Linked DNA regions of Macaca fascicularis. The protein of the gene in region 2 interacts with the protein of the main gene of each other region in a pairwise test. Links are inferred from orthologs where the notes say so. Each region holds a gene or a part of one and is shown on either strand. Other genes may lie near its edges.

Region 1 (3,651 bases), on a different chromosome or scaffold from region 2:
CAGCATTATTAATGGTCACTTCTGAATATAGCCCTGACCCAGCATGTATTATATCCTCTCAAATTGCCCAAGCCAAAACAAAAAATCCTTGCTGTAGATTACTTCTGCATTGAGATTATGTTCCTGCTTTCTCTTCCTATAAGTGTTCTCGTCAAACCTCTTTTCCCAAAAGGATGCCAATAAGGGGGAAACTGAGGACCCATTTCTGGTTTTATAACCCCCTACAACATCTTGTAGAAAGGAAGAAGCCAGGATTCTTATCTTGAAACAACTCAGCCTAACTTCATTCATTTAAACCAATTTTGATTCACTGCATGCTGAATTATTTAATGTTTTGAAATATATATTTTTTAATTCCCATATAGATACAACAACCTGTGAAAGTTTCTTAGTGTTGCCAAATATATGTCCTTAGGGAGGGCTGCTTTAATCATTTGATAAGGATGAATTCCAATGGCATAGCAGTGGTTCACATAAAGTTGGATTTTTCCAAAGCAGTTGAAAGAATTTCATTTTGTAAGTAGGTGAAATATAGCCCTAGCAATCTGGCTTATTGTATTCCCTTGCTAAACTGCCTTCTTTACTAGTGAATGATGGAAAGAAAAGCTCCAAGCCAGACCTTCTGGGATTTTCATACCTTCCAAATTGGCAAGGTGTGAACTAATGATGTTTACCTATAGTTGGAAATGTACTAGGACTTTGAAGAACCCTCTTGGAGCTTAAAGGACCTGACCTGTGAGACTGTGAATCCCCAGGGAAGTTGTGATGCTGAAGGTGTCCTGGCCTTTCCCTGCCTCCGTTACTGACCCGCTTTACCTCTCCTGTGACTTGCAGTTAACGCACCTGTGACGGTTGCTGACAAGAACAACCCGAAGTACACAGGGAATGTTTTCACTCCACACTTTGCTACAGCCTTGACCTCAGCAACCCTGAACCAGCCACTCTGGCTCAACCTGAACTATCCACCTCCACCAGTGTTCACGAATCACTCTACCTTCCTGCAGTATCAGGTCAGTGAACGGGCCTGGCTCTCCTGTGGACATCCACAGGGGTTTTGGCCACAGAGGAGGCGTGGCTGGCAGGGAGTCTATTTCACAAAGAGTCTTTAGACTCTTCTGAATCCCTTCCCTACATGCAAGAGGCTTCGCTGGGGCTATGGAAGGGCACTGTCAACTTGTCATCTTGTTGGTTATTTTTTTCATTGTGGTCACATCAGATCTACCCCTTGGTTCATGTGCATGCATGTGCACACCTCCACAAACACATATATGTATATTTAGTCCTAACTTTCCGCTGTCTGAATTCCAGTTCACACTGTGCTCTTTATTGCAGAGTCTCTTTGCTAGTAGTGGCTGGTTAAGTGCTTGGGCTCCCAGGAGAAGATGATGTCACAGTCCTTGTTTCCCACCTCCTTCCTGTGACTTCCTTTGAAGTTGGATGACATATATCCTAGATTATTTGGGACAGTCCCAATTTAGGTCTTCTGTTTCAGAATAATATTAATGGCATCTCTTTTCACTCTCAAGTGTCCTGGTTTGGACAACAAATTACAGTCAGCCCTCTGTATCCACGGGTTCCACATCCACAGATTCAACCAGCTTGGATGGAAAATACTTGAAGAAGGAAACAATTAAAAAAAATACAACAACAAAAAATAATGCGAATAAAAGATAATATAGTATAATAACTATTTACATAGTACATTATTAGACATTGTTAGTAATCTAGAGATTAAAGGATACAGAAGCATGTGCATAAGCTGCGTGCAAATACTATGCCATTTTATATCAGGGACTTGAGCATCCTCATATCCCTTTTTATATCAGGGACTTGAACATCTTTATATGTCATTGTGTATCAGGGACTAGAGCATCCTCATATGCCATTTTATTTTATTAGAGACAGAGTCTCACTTTATTGCCCAGGGTGGAGTGCAGTGGCATGATCTTGGCTCACTGCAATCTCTGCCTCCTAGGTTCAAGTGTTTCTCCTACCTCAGCCTCCCAAGTAGCTGGGATTACTGGTATGTGCGCCACCACACCTGGTTAATTTTTGTATTTTTAGTAGAGACAGGGTTTCACCATGTTGGCCAGGCTGGTCTCGAACTCCCCAACTCGTGTGATCCACCCGTTTCCATTTCCCAAAGAGCTGGGAGTACAGGCGTAAGCCACTGCACCCAGCCCTCAAATACCATTTTATATCAGAGAGTTGAGCATCTTTATATGTCATTTTATATCGGGGACTTGAGCATGCTCAGATTTTGGTATCCACAGGGCAGGGGAGGGAGGGTGAACTTGGAACCAATCCTCTGAGGATACCATGGGATGAGTGTATATGGCCACCTTACTTACACTACACCCAAGCAGTCTTAGCTTGTATCAACCAAGGTTGTTTGGCACACATTCTTGTTCTTGGGCTCGTAGCTGAAGGAGAAAATCAGTGGCCAGACACAAAGGGACAGTGAAGCACCTGTAGCAGGGCTGGAAATTCTGCTCACAGAACTTATTTATGCAGGGAAAATGTAGTTTCTTTATTTCGTCAATTTAACTTAATATCCCTTAAGAGCTTCCACCCACTGGGTAGAAGGAGGGAAAAATTAAATAAATGTCCACTCTGGTTTAAGCCTTAGCCCAATCCAATAACTTAAATAGTCCCTTTAGGTAGAACTCAATTTTTTCAGGAAAGACTCTCCATGCCTAAGATTTCTGTCTTCTGTTCCCCTCACTGGCTTCTCTCTAGAATTGTATGTCATTGTATGGGGAAGGGCAGGAACTCAAATTTGTGCATCCAGGACCTTGGCAAGTTGCTGCCGCAGCCTGGCCCAGCACAGCCTGAAGTAAGAAAGCAGAGAAGGGAATATTTCCAACTTGGTTTGTCCTGTTGCTATGTCCCTTCCCCCCTCTCCATCCCCAGGAACCCTATGCTGTTCTTTCCCTTTCAACACAGCACAAGGCTTATGTCCTACGGGGAAAGGGGATTGGCTCTTCTCTATATAAAGACTCTTCAATCTGCCCCACCAGGCTTAGCTTCTGAATCTTAAAGGAACTTAGCAAAGTCTCTCTCTGTTTTGTTTGCAAGCTTTTTGTTTGTGTGTGAGTTTGCTAAAGAGAACAAGTACCCATCCCCTCCCCAGGGAAGGAAAGCTCACACCCCACTGTGGAGGTGAGAGGTTGTGATGAAAGGTGACCTAAGAAGGAAGCTGAAGTGGACTAGTTTCACATTAGTAGTTTATTGTCGTGGACCAGTTTCATATTAGTAGTCTATTGTCTTTACACAGGTCTTGAAATGTTCTGTTCATTCATTCACTGACTCCTTTACCAATATGCTTCTACCCTTTCATTTTTGTGTGCTTATTCACTATTCATTTACTCACCTACTCATGATTTACTCATTTCTATGTATTTATTTGCTCATTAATTTAAGTAATTTTGAAAACCTTTTCTCCCTACACCTACTATAGGCTGAGCATTGTTCTAGTCAGGTGTGGCGGCGTGTGCCTGGAGCCCCAGCCTACACCGGAGGCTGAGACAGGAGAATTGCCTGAGCTCAGGAGTTCAGGGCTAGCCTGGACAAGATAGCGAAACCCTGTCTCTAAAAAAAAAAGTGACTAAGAAAGAATCTTGGAGTATAATACAAGTTCAGGAATAAACC
Region 2 (4,168 bases):
CATAAGCCATTACAAAGATACAACCACTGTTAAAATTTTGCTATCTCACCTTCCTTTGGTTGCTTTACCTTGTATACTTACAGTATATTTGTATATCTAAATTGGGCTCATTCTCTACAAATAGCCAGTCTCATCTCCCTAGTATTTTAAAATTTTGTTTTATAGATCATAAGACAATATATACTCATTATGGAAAAATCTAGAAAAAACAGAAAAGTATAAAGAAATAAAAATACTTTACCTATAATTCCATCCTTAGATCTAATTCCTTGCTGTGATTTTGAAAAAATGACTTATACACTTTTTGTGCATTATATGTACGTCAATATAGTTTAAGTCATATTATATATAAATTTTGCATTTGGCTTTTAAAAAGTATAAGACAAACACAAGGTTTTTATTAACATAATTTTAAATACCTGCCTGACGTTTTACTTAAATATCGTGTTTAGATTTCCAAGGTTGTGGTATTATAAATCATGTTACTCTGAACATCTATTTTTACACAAGCTTCATCCACATTCCGGGAACATTTTCTAGAAGGTGGAAATAAAATTGTGTTATATTATGATGTGTATTCTTGAGTTTTTGTGTTTATTCATTTCCTAGTAATCAGGGAATGTCCTTAAGCAAAGCATATTCTGCATGTTTGTTTGCAGTTTGAGAAAAGTTACTGTTTAAAAATAAAACCTTGTTGTTTGATGCTCTCCTTCTAATGCGTATTTAATCCTTTTTCACACTTTCAGGTCTGAAGGTGGGCCTAACGACATTATCGTTAAGGGATAAAACTTCATTATTTTGACTCGGACACTAATGTGTTCTTATCATGTGCTTCTTGAATGAGTTTTCTCTTCGGGCATTTTGGAGCGTTCTGTTGCAGACTTCCTTTGAACAACGGGACATGAAGTAAAACCTCGATACTTTTTACTTTTGTTTTTTAAATCTAGATACTTTTACAAGAACTCTATTTGTCCAGGATACAGCCCTTCCGTTTTCCCAGCCTCTCCAACTGGCTCCTCCCTCTCCCCGACCCCGCTTTCAAAGCCGCCCCATCGTTCCCACGCTAGCGAGTTAATGTCCTTATTTACGAGAACTTGTGTTTCACAGTCTTAACCACGGAGGTTAAGATGTCTCTGCCTGGAATTTCTTTGTTTTTAAAGTTTTTCCAGCCCATCTTTCGCGGAAAAGACCCTCAAAGTGGGACCCAGCCCCGCCCCCACCTGGCCCCACCCCCTCTGGTCCGGAGCCTTCCATCTCCATGGTTACGCGGCGGTTGCTGCGAGAGCCCAACTGCCCCGACGGTCGCGGTGAGGGCCCCAGGACAGAAGCAGACAGACACGGCTCCTGCTGTCGATTCCGATCCAGGTCAGCCTACTCGGGGCTCCGCGCCCTTGACCCGGAGGTGTGTCCCGCCAGGCGGCGAGCGTGGGGCAGCTGGCGGAGCCCGGGCGGCTGGAGGACCGCGTCCTGCCTCGTCGAGACTTAGCTCTCAGTCTCGATCCTTTAGGCTGCGCCGCCGCTGAGCTGGAACAGCGGTCCATTCCCGCCGGAGGCGCCCAGGGCGGCAGGGCGGCCCTCTAGCCACTGCGCGGGCGCCTGAGGCCTTCCGCCTCTGTTCCACTCCACTGGCTACCCTAGAAGCCTGACCTCGGGAGACTTAGTAATTGGTGGGTGGATGCGGGGAAGGTGCTGAGCCGCGTCCCTAGCGACCCGGCACAGTTGCGCATGCGCACACAGACCCGGCGCGGGATAGACTCTCCCACAGACTGACACTCGCGCATGCGCTGCTTGCGATCCTGGAGTACTGATTCAAAGCTGTTTTAAGCGATTCCCTTATGCCGCAAACTGTTGTAACCACACAACATATAGGACTAATTTAGTCCTCACGCCTCTGGAAAGAAGTGAAACAAGTGCCCAAGATCTCACAGCTAGACAGTGGTCGGGTCACGATGGAATCCAAGCAATCTGGTTTCACTGGACAAAATGCCTCGTGCTTCCGTACCCATCCATCGGAAAGCTAATAATGCTGAGGAGTTGGCTTTATCTACCTGATATTGCCTTTGTTATACTCTACATGCCAAGTTCCATTGTGCTCAGTTACTAATATTCAGGAAAATCAGAAAACTCGGTCAAAACCTGCCACTTTTTCCTTAGAGTAAATGGAATTAATAACCAGGAGTTCATTTTTTTCCATGACGCATAACTCTTACGTTTTGGTTTTTGCTTTTGTGTTTTTTATCGAGAGTCTGAACTCCATTTTAGATGTGCGGAAAAGATTATTTTAATGATCTGAGCAAGAATTGTTTTCCAAGATTCTAGTACCATTACGAAAGATTATTTAGTGAATGTGGTTGAATAAGCATTTCCTCTTTCAAGCTGTACTCTTGGGTTTCTCATTAATTTTACCTTCTTCCCCTACAAATACTGCTTACCTTTTTTTTTTTTTTTTGAGACGCAGTTTCGCTCTTGTTGCCTAGGCTGGAGTGCAATGGCGTGATCTCGGCTCACCGCAACTCCCGCCTCCCGGGTTCAAGCGATTCTCCTGCCTCAGCCTCCGGAGTAGCTGGGACTACAGGCGTCCGCCACCACGCCCGGCTAATTTTGTATTTTTAGTAGAGACGGGGTTTCTCCGTGTTGGTCAGGCTGGTCTCGAACTCCCGACCTCAGCTGATCCGCCTGCCTCGGCCTCCCAAAATGCTGGGATTACAGGCGTGAGCCATCGCGCCCAGCCTGCTTAGCCTTTTTTTTTTTTTTTTTTTTTTTTTTTAAATTAAGAATATCATGATAGGAATATATGTTTAGTGACCATAATTTAAATAATTGAAAATGTTAATTATCAGATGTTTCAATTATTTGAAATCCCAATCATTGTCTGTCTTCAATAAAGTCCTTCATTTTTAAAAATAATGAAAAACAGGAGAGGCCTAGATACTAATAAAAATACTAATAAGCTAATAGATGATATTATGACTCTTTACAAATACAATATTGGAGAAATCGGAAGAGAAAAAAATTTGCATAAACCCACGTTTTTAAAAAAAATTGTTTTATTTAGCCAGAATGCCTCCAACTCAGGCCGAAAGTGTTATAAGGAGTATTATACGAGAAATAGGACAAGAATGTGCAGCCCATGGAGAGATTGTTTCTGAAACTCTGATTGCTTTTATGGTAAGAAGAAATCTTTTTGTGATTACTACTTTATTAAGAGCTTTTTTAAGATGTGATGTCCATTTTCCCCTTTAAATTCTGTGAAGCTTTCATAGATGTTTTTCAGCTTAAACATAATGAGATCATCGGACAAGTTAGTGAAAACATTTTAAAAACGTTTATAGAGCATGTGAGTTGTAGATTTATAGAGACTGATTTAGAAGACCTTGATGAGTTTGGAAAACATAAATAATGTTCTCCTGTGTGGAAATTTTTTGGTGTGTATTTTTGTTTGCCGTTGTTAAAAATTACTCATTGCTATGGTTTCTCTGTTCTTGCTTTTGGTTAAGATAACAATACACAATAAAAATACAATAAAATATACCATAGTTTCCCAACTGAAAACCTAGCCATTGCTTTCAACTTATTTCCCCATATAACTTTTCTAGCACCCCATTCAAATTTGATGTTTGTCGCTTCTTTTCTTCAGCCTCTAACAAGGGTACTGATGAGTTCAGTAGTAAGAAAAATAGTTGAAAAACCAACCCCACTGTAATCAGGAGGTAGTTGTTTAAAAAATGGAAACACATTAAACTAATAATATGAAATAAAATTGCTTAATGGATTCTTTCCTACTTAATGGGCTTGTTCCTACTTTTTTCCAGGTGAAAGCTGTTGTCCTGGATCCAAGTAATGGCTTTAACATGGATAGAACCCTCATGAAAAGTGATGTGCAGAATCTTGTTAAGGTGATTACCCAACAGTCCTCAAATTTGCAATTACTTATTCTCAGTTGTAAACACAGTATTTGTGTTAGTCATTATTGCCTTCAGCTAAATGAAACAAAAGCCCACAAAATAGTACTACACATGAGGTATTTTTCTCATAACACAAAGTGTGGAGAGACATAGACCCTTCTTCCTGGCTTCCTGGGGCATGCCATCCTTGCAATATGGTCATCTGATGGTCAAAAGATAGCTACCCTACCTCTAGGTAGAAAGAAGGGGGGAAGGCAAAGGGC
Region 3 (3,651 bases), on a different chromosome or scaffold from region 2:
GCCCTTGTCTATCTGCCAGGTGTAAGAACTCCTATTGACCACATTTGTTACCAGAGGATTAGACAAAGAATTGGAGTGGTTTTCTTTGAGTGATAACTTGTCTTGATTGCAAAAATCATCTACGTCAAGATAAACTATAGCTTTTGGCCAGAATGTCATTTAGAAATGCAACAAATGTTAATACAGGATTTCTTTTTGTTTTTCTTGGTGATGTGTAATGGAAATAAACACAATCCTAATAAAAGGAGAAGCATAAACACGGAAAGGATTTGGAAGAGTGTCTAGCATAAGAGTAAGCCCTTAACACAGGTAGTGATTATTACTATTTTATTATTACCCTACCACAGTTGCTATTCAGTTATTTATTCAACAAGTATTTATTGAGTACTATATGCCAGGCTCAATGATCTGCATTGGGGATTCAGTGATGGGGAAAACACAAACAGTTCTGCCTTCAAGGACTTTATAGTCAAGTGAGAGAGGAAGTAGAATCATCACATAAAAATTCTAATTACAAATCGTGGTAAGCAAATGAAGTGATAGAGGTATAAGTAGACCAAGATTTGCTCTGATTTTCAGAGTCAGTAAAAGCTTCTTTGAAGAAGTCCCAGTTAAGCTGAAATTTGAAAAATGGGAAGGAGGAATTAAGGAGACACAAAGGAAAGAGTAGCACGCTGAGCATGTTTACAGAGCCCACAGTAAAGAGAATGATGAGGGGGCCAATGTGGCTGAAACCCAAAGACTCAGTAACTATTTAAGAGCAAAAGCCACAATTACTTTTGCACCAATCTAATAGTAGTAGTAGTAGTAGGTTAGATCCCAAGCCATTGGGGGGATTTTTAAGGCTTTGCTAAGAATTTTAGACTTTCATCACATGATCAGTGGGGAGCCACGGAAAGCTTTAGGAAAAGTGTGACAACCTCAGATTTGCGTTTTCGAAAGATCACTGGCAGCTGGAGTGTAGTGGGGCAAGAGTGACAAACAGGGAGACTATGTACAGGGTTAAGGCAGTATCCCAGTGAAAGATGGTGGGAGCCTGCAACAGGATAATGGCAGGTAGAAACACAAAACAGTGGACGAATTTGGGATGTATAATATTTTGGAAGTAGGACCACAGGGCCTGGTGATTAACTGAAACTTTAGCACAATAATCACACAAAGTCGAAAAGCCTCCCCAGCAAGATCAGCTAATGGGTTATTGATAATTTGCAAAATCTTCACCATTCTCCCTTGGCAAAGATTCAAAAGCCCTGGTGATACAAAAGCCCTGGTGATACTCAGGGCCGACAGATTACTCATTCCGCACAGAGCGGGCCCACAAGTCGTCGCCCGCCTTGTGACGCAAGACTTTATTCCCTGGACGTCAGTGGCCTGGAAGCGCAGCGTTTCCTGGGCAACGCCATTGTCGCAGCTCCGGGCGGGGTAGGGATAACTAAAGACAACGGCCGGGGAGAGAACTCCACAAGAGAGGGAGAGTCAGAGAAAATGGGCAACAAGTGCGGCGGCTTCCGCCATGGCAGGTGATTCGAGGACTCAGCACGAGGCGAGAGTAGGGACCGGGAAGAGCCGGAAAACCCGCCTGTGATTGGCCGTCCAGGGGTATCGGTCGCTTGTGATTGGTGAGGCCCAAACAGACAGCTGCGTTTTGAACCGCGTAGGGTTCTGGGTAGCAAAGGCCTTGCAAGGGTCTTAACCGAAAGGGGGAGGGGGAAGGTCGCCAACAAACGGCTGAGCTCACAATCCAGGCCGGGGCGTCCCCCTCCCCCATGGAGAGAGCCAGACCGGAGCCTCAGCCTCAACAGCGCCCGTTGCGTCCCGCTCCGCCCCTGCTGCCGGTCGAGGGCACCACCTTTTGGGCAGCGGCCGTGGAGCCCCCTCCGTCGCCTCCCACACTAAGCGCGGCCGCCAGTGCGACCTTGGCCTCGTCGTGCGGGGAGGCCGTGGCGTCCGGCTTACCGCCCGCGGTGCGGCGGCTGCTGCAGGTGAAGCCAGAGCAGGTGTTGCTGCTACCACAGCCTCAGGCCCGGGACGAGGAAGCCGCTGCCTCGCCCGCGCAGGCGCGGCTGTTGCCGTTCAGGCCCGACCTTCGGCTCCTGCCGCCGCCGTCAGCGTCCGAGGGCGCCCCCTCCAGGCCGGAGTTGCACCCGGTGCAGCCCCGGGCGCTGCACTTCAAGGCCAAGAAGCAGGAGCTGGGGCCCGGCCTGGACCCGTCAGTGGGTCCTCGTGGGGGCGTCGAGACCGGTCCTAGAGCTTCCAGGGTGGTCAAGTTGGAAGGTCCGGGACCGGCCCTCGCCTACTTCCGAGGGAACGAGAAGGGCAAGCTGGAGGCCGAGGAGGTCATGAGAGACGCGATGAAAGGCGGGGATGGCAAAAGCCCGGCGGCCATCCGAGAAGGTGTGATCAAAACGGAGGAACCCGAGAGACTCCTCGAGGACTGCAGGCTCGACGCGGAGCCCGCGTCCAATGGCCTAGTTCATGGCAGCGCGGAGGTCATCTTGGCCCCAACGTCCGGTGCCTTTGGGCCGCACCAGCAAGACCTCAGGATCCCTTTGACTCTCCACACGGTCCCCCCTGGGGCCCGGATCCAGTTTCAGGGAGCTCCGCCTTCAGAGCTGATAAGATTGACCAAAGTCCCCCTTACACCAGTGCCTATTAAAATGCAGTCCCTACTGGAGCCTTCTGTAAAAATCGAAACCAAAGATGTCCCGCTCACCGTGTTGCCCTCAGATGCAGGTATTAGACAGCAGGGGAGAGGGGTTTTCAAAACTGCACCTGTGTTGCCCATAGCTGTTTTGTCAGCAGTTCCCAAGTCTAAACTACAAAAGTGAAGTCATGGAACCTATTATTTTCAGGGCAGAGTCTGCACAGGTTATCACTTCTGATCGACTTGTATATGTAGCAGTAAAATACACGAATGCCTTCAAGATTCTCAAGTATTTTTTAAAAAATCGATTTTAAGGCCCAGTATTTAGATAGGACTAATTTTTGTACACAAAAATAGAGGTATTTTCTAGACAGCACAGAGCCCTCAGTTTATATGCTACAAATAATCAAGATTAAAAATATTGTATTATAATAGCTCAGTACTTTTATATGTGTCAAGATATAGAGGAAATTATGGTGTTTAATGAAAAAAGGGATTATAGTTAAATAGGAAAGTTTATATCCATTATAGAGGCTATCTTTAAAAATGAACAGTAAACATTCTTCTAGCAGAAAACAGTACGTGATTCGATGTAATATTTTAGTGTTTATTCCTCTGAAAGGTAAGGACTTATAGAAATACTGAAAAGAATACGGTAGAATGAGCCATAAATATTGTTTTTAAAGAAATGACTAGTTGTAGCGGTAACAAGTACAAATAGATGTTTTTATTTCTATCCAGTATTTCCAGATATAAAGTTAGCAAATTCTTATTTTACGATTTAGTTCACACAGAACACTTTGCCAATGAACATCTTGGAAAGTCATATTAATCTTTGGTTCATATTTTCTTTATTTATTTTTTAAATTTTCTGTGTTGATTCTTCCTCTCCACTCCACTCTGTTGCTTTTCTCTTTAGTATTTTTTAGATTTTTGTTTTCTAAAGGAAAGAAAGGGAAAGCTTTCTTTATACTACTTATTTCATCCTTAGTGTTTTAAAGAAATTT

Evidence for each region.
Region 1: the proteins of CFAP206 (region 2) and C1H1orf94 interact in binary tests that used the Homo sapiens proteins (3 or more experiments, as listed by UniProt). The two-hybrid records come from large-scale screens. The link is inferred for Macaca fascicularis from reciprocal best matches to the Homo sapiens genes CFAP206 and C1orf94.
Region 3: the proteins of CFAP206 (region 2) and SOX30 interact in binary tests that used the Homo sapiens proteins (3 or more experiments, as listed by UniProt). The two-hybrid records come from large-scale screens. The link is inferred for Macaca fascicularis from reciprocal best matches to the Homo sapiens genes CFAP206 and SOX30.

What each region holds. Positions count from the first base shown.
Region 1 is NC_088375.1:200,780,553-200,784,203, reverse strand, and holds part of C1H1orf94 (uncharacterized protein C1orf94 homolog), read left to right. Parts: intron 1-834; coding exon 835-1,010; intron 1,011-3,651.
Region 2 is NC_088378.1:87,903,185-87,907,352, reverse strand, and holds the start of CFAP206 (cilia- and flagella-associated protein 206), read left to right. Parts: upstream 1-1,258; coding exon 1,259-1,365; intron 1,366-3,055; exon of another isoform or gene 3,056-3,059; coding exon 3,060-3,168; intron 3,169-3,812; coding exon 3,813-3,896; intron 3,897-4,168. UniProt on the Homo sapiens protein: Essential for sperm motility and is involved in the regulation of the beating frequency of motile cilia on the epithelial cells of the respiratory tract. Required for the establishment of radial spokes in sperm flagella.
Region 3 is NC_088380.1:164,438,314-164,441,964, reverse strand, and holds part of SOX30 (transcription factor SOX-30), read left to right. Parts: 5' UTR 1-1,766; coding exon 1,767-2,733; intron 2,734-3,651. UniProt on the Homo sapiens protein: Acts both as a transcriptional activator and a repressor. Binds to the DNA sequence 5'-ACAAT-3' and shows a preference for guanine residues surrounding this core motif. Binds to its own promoter and activates its own transcription.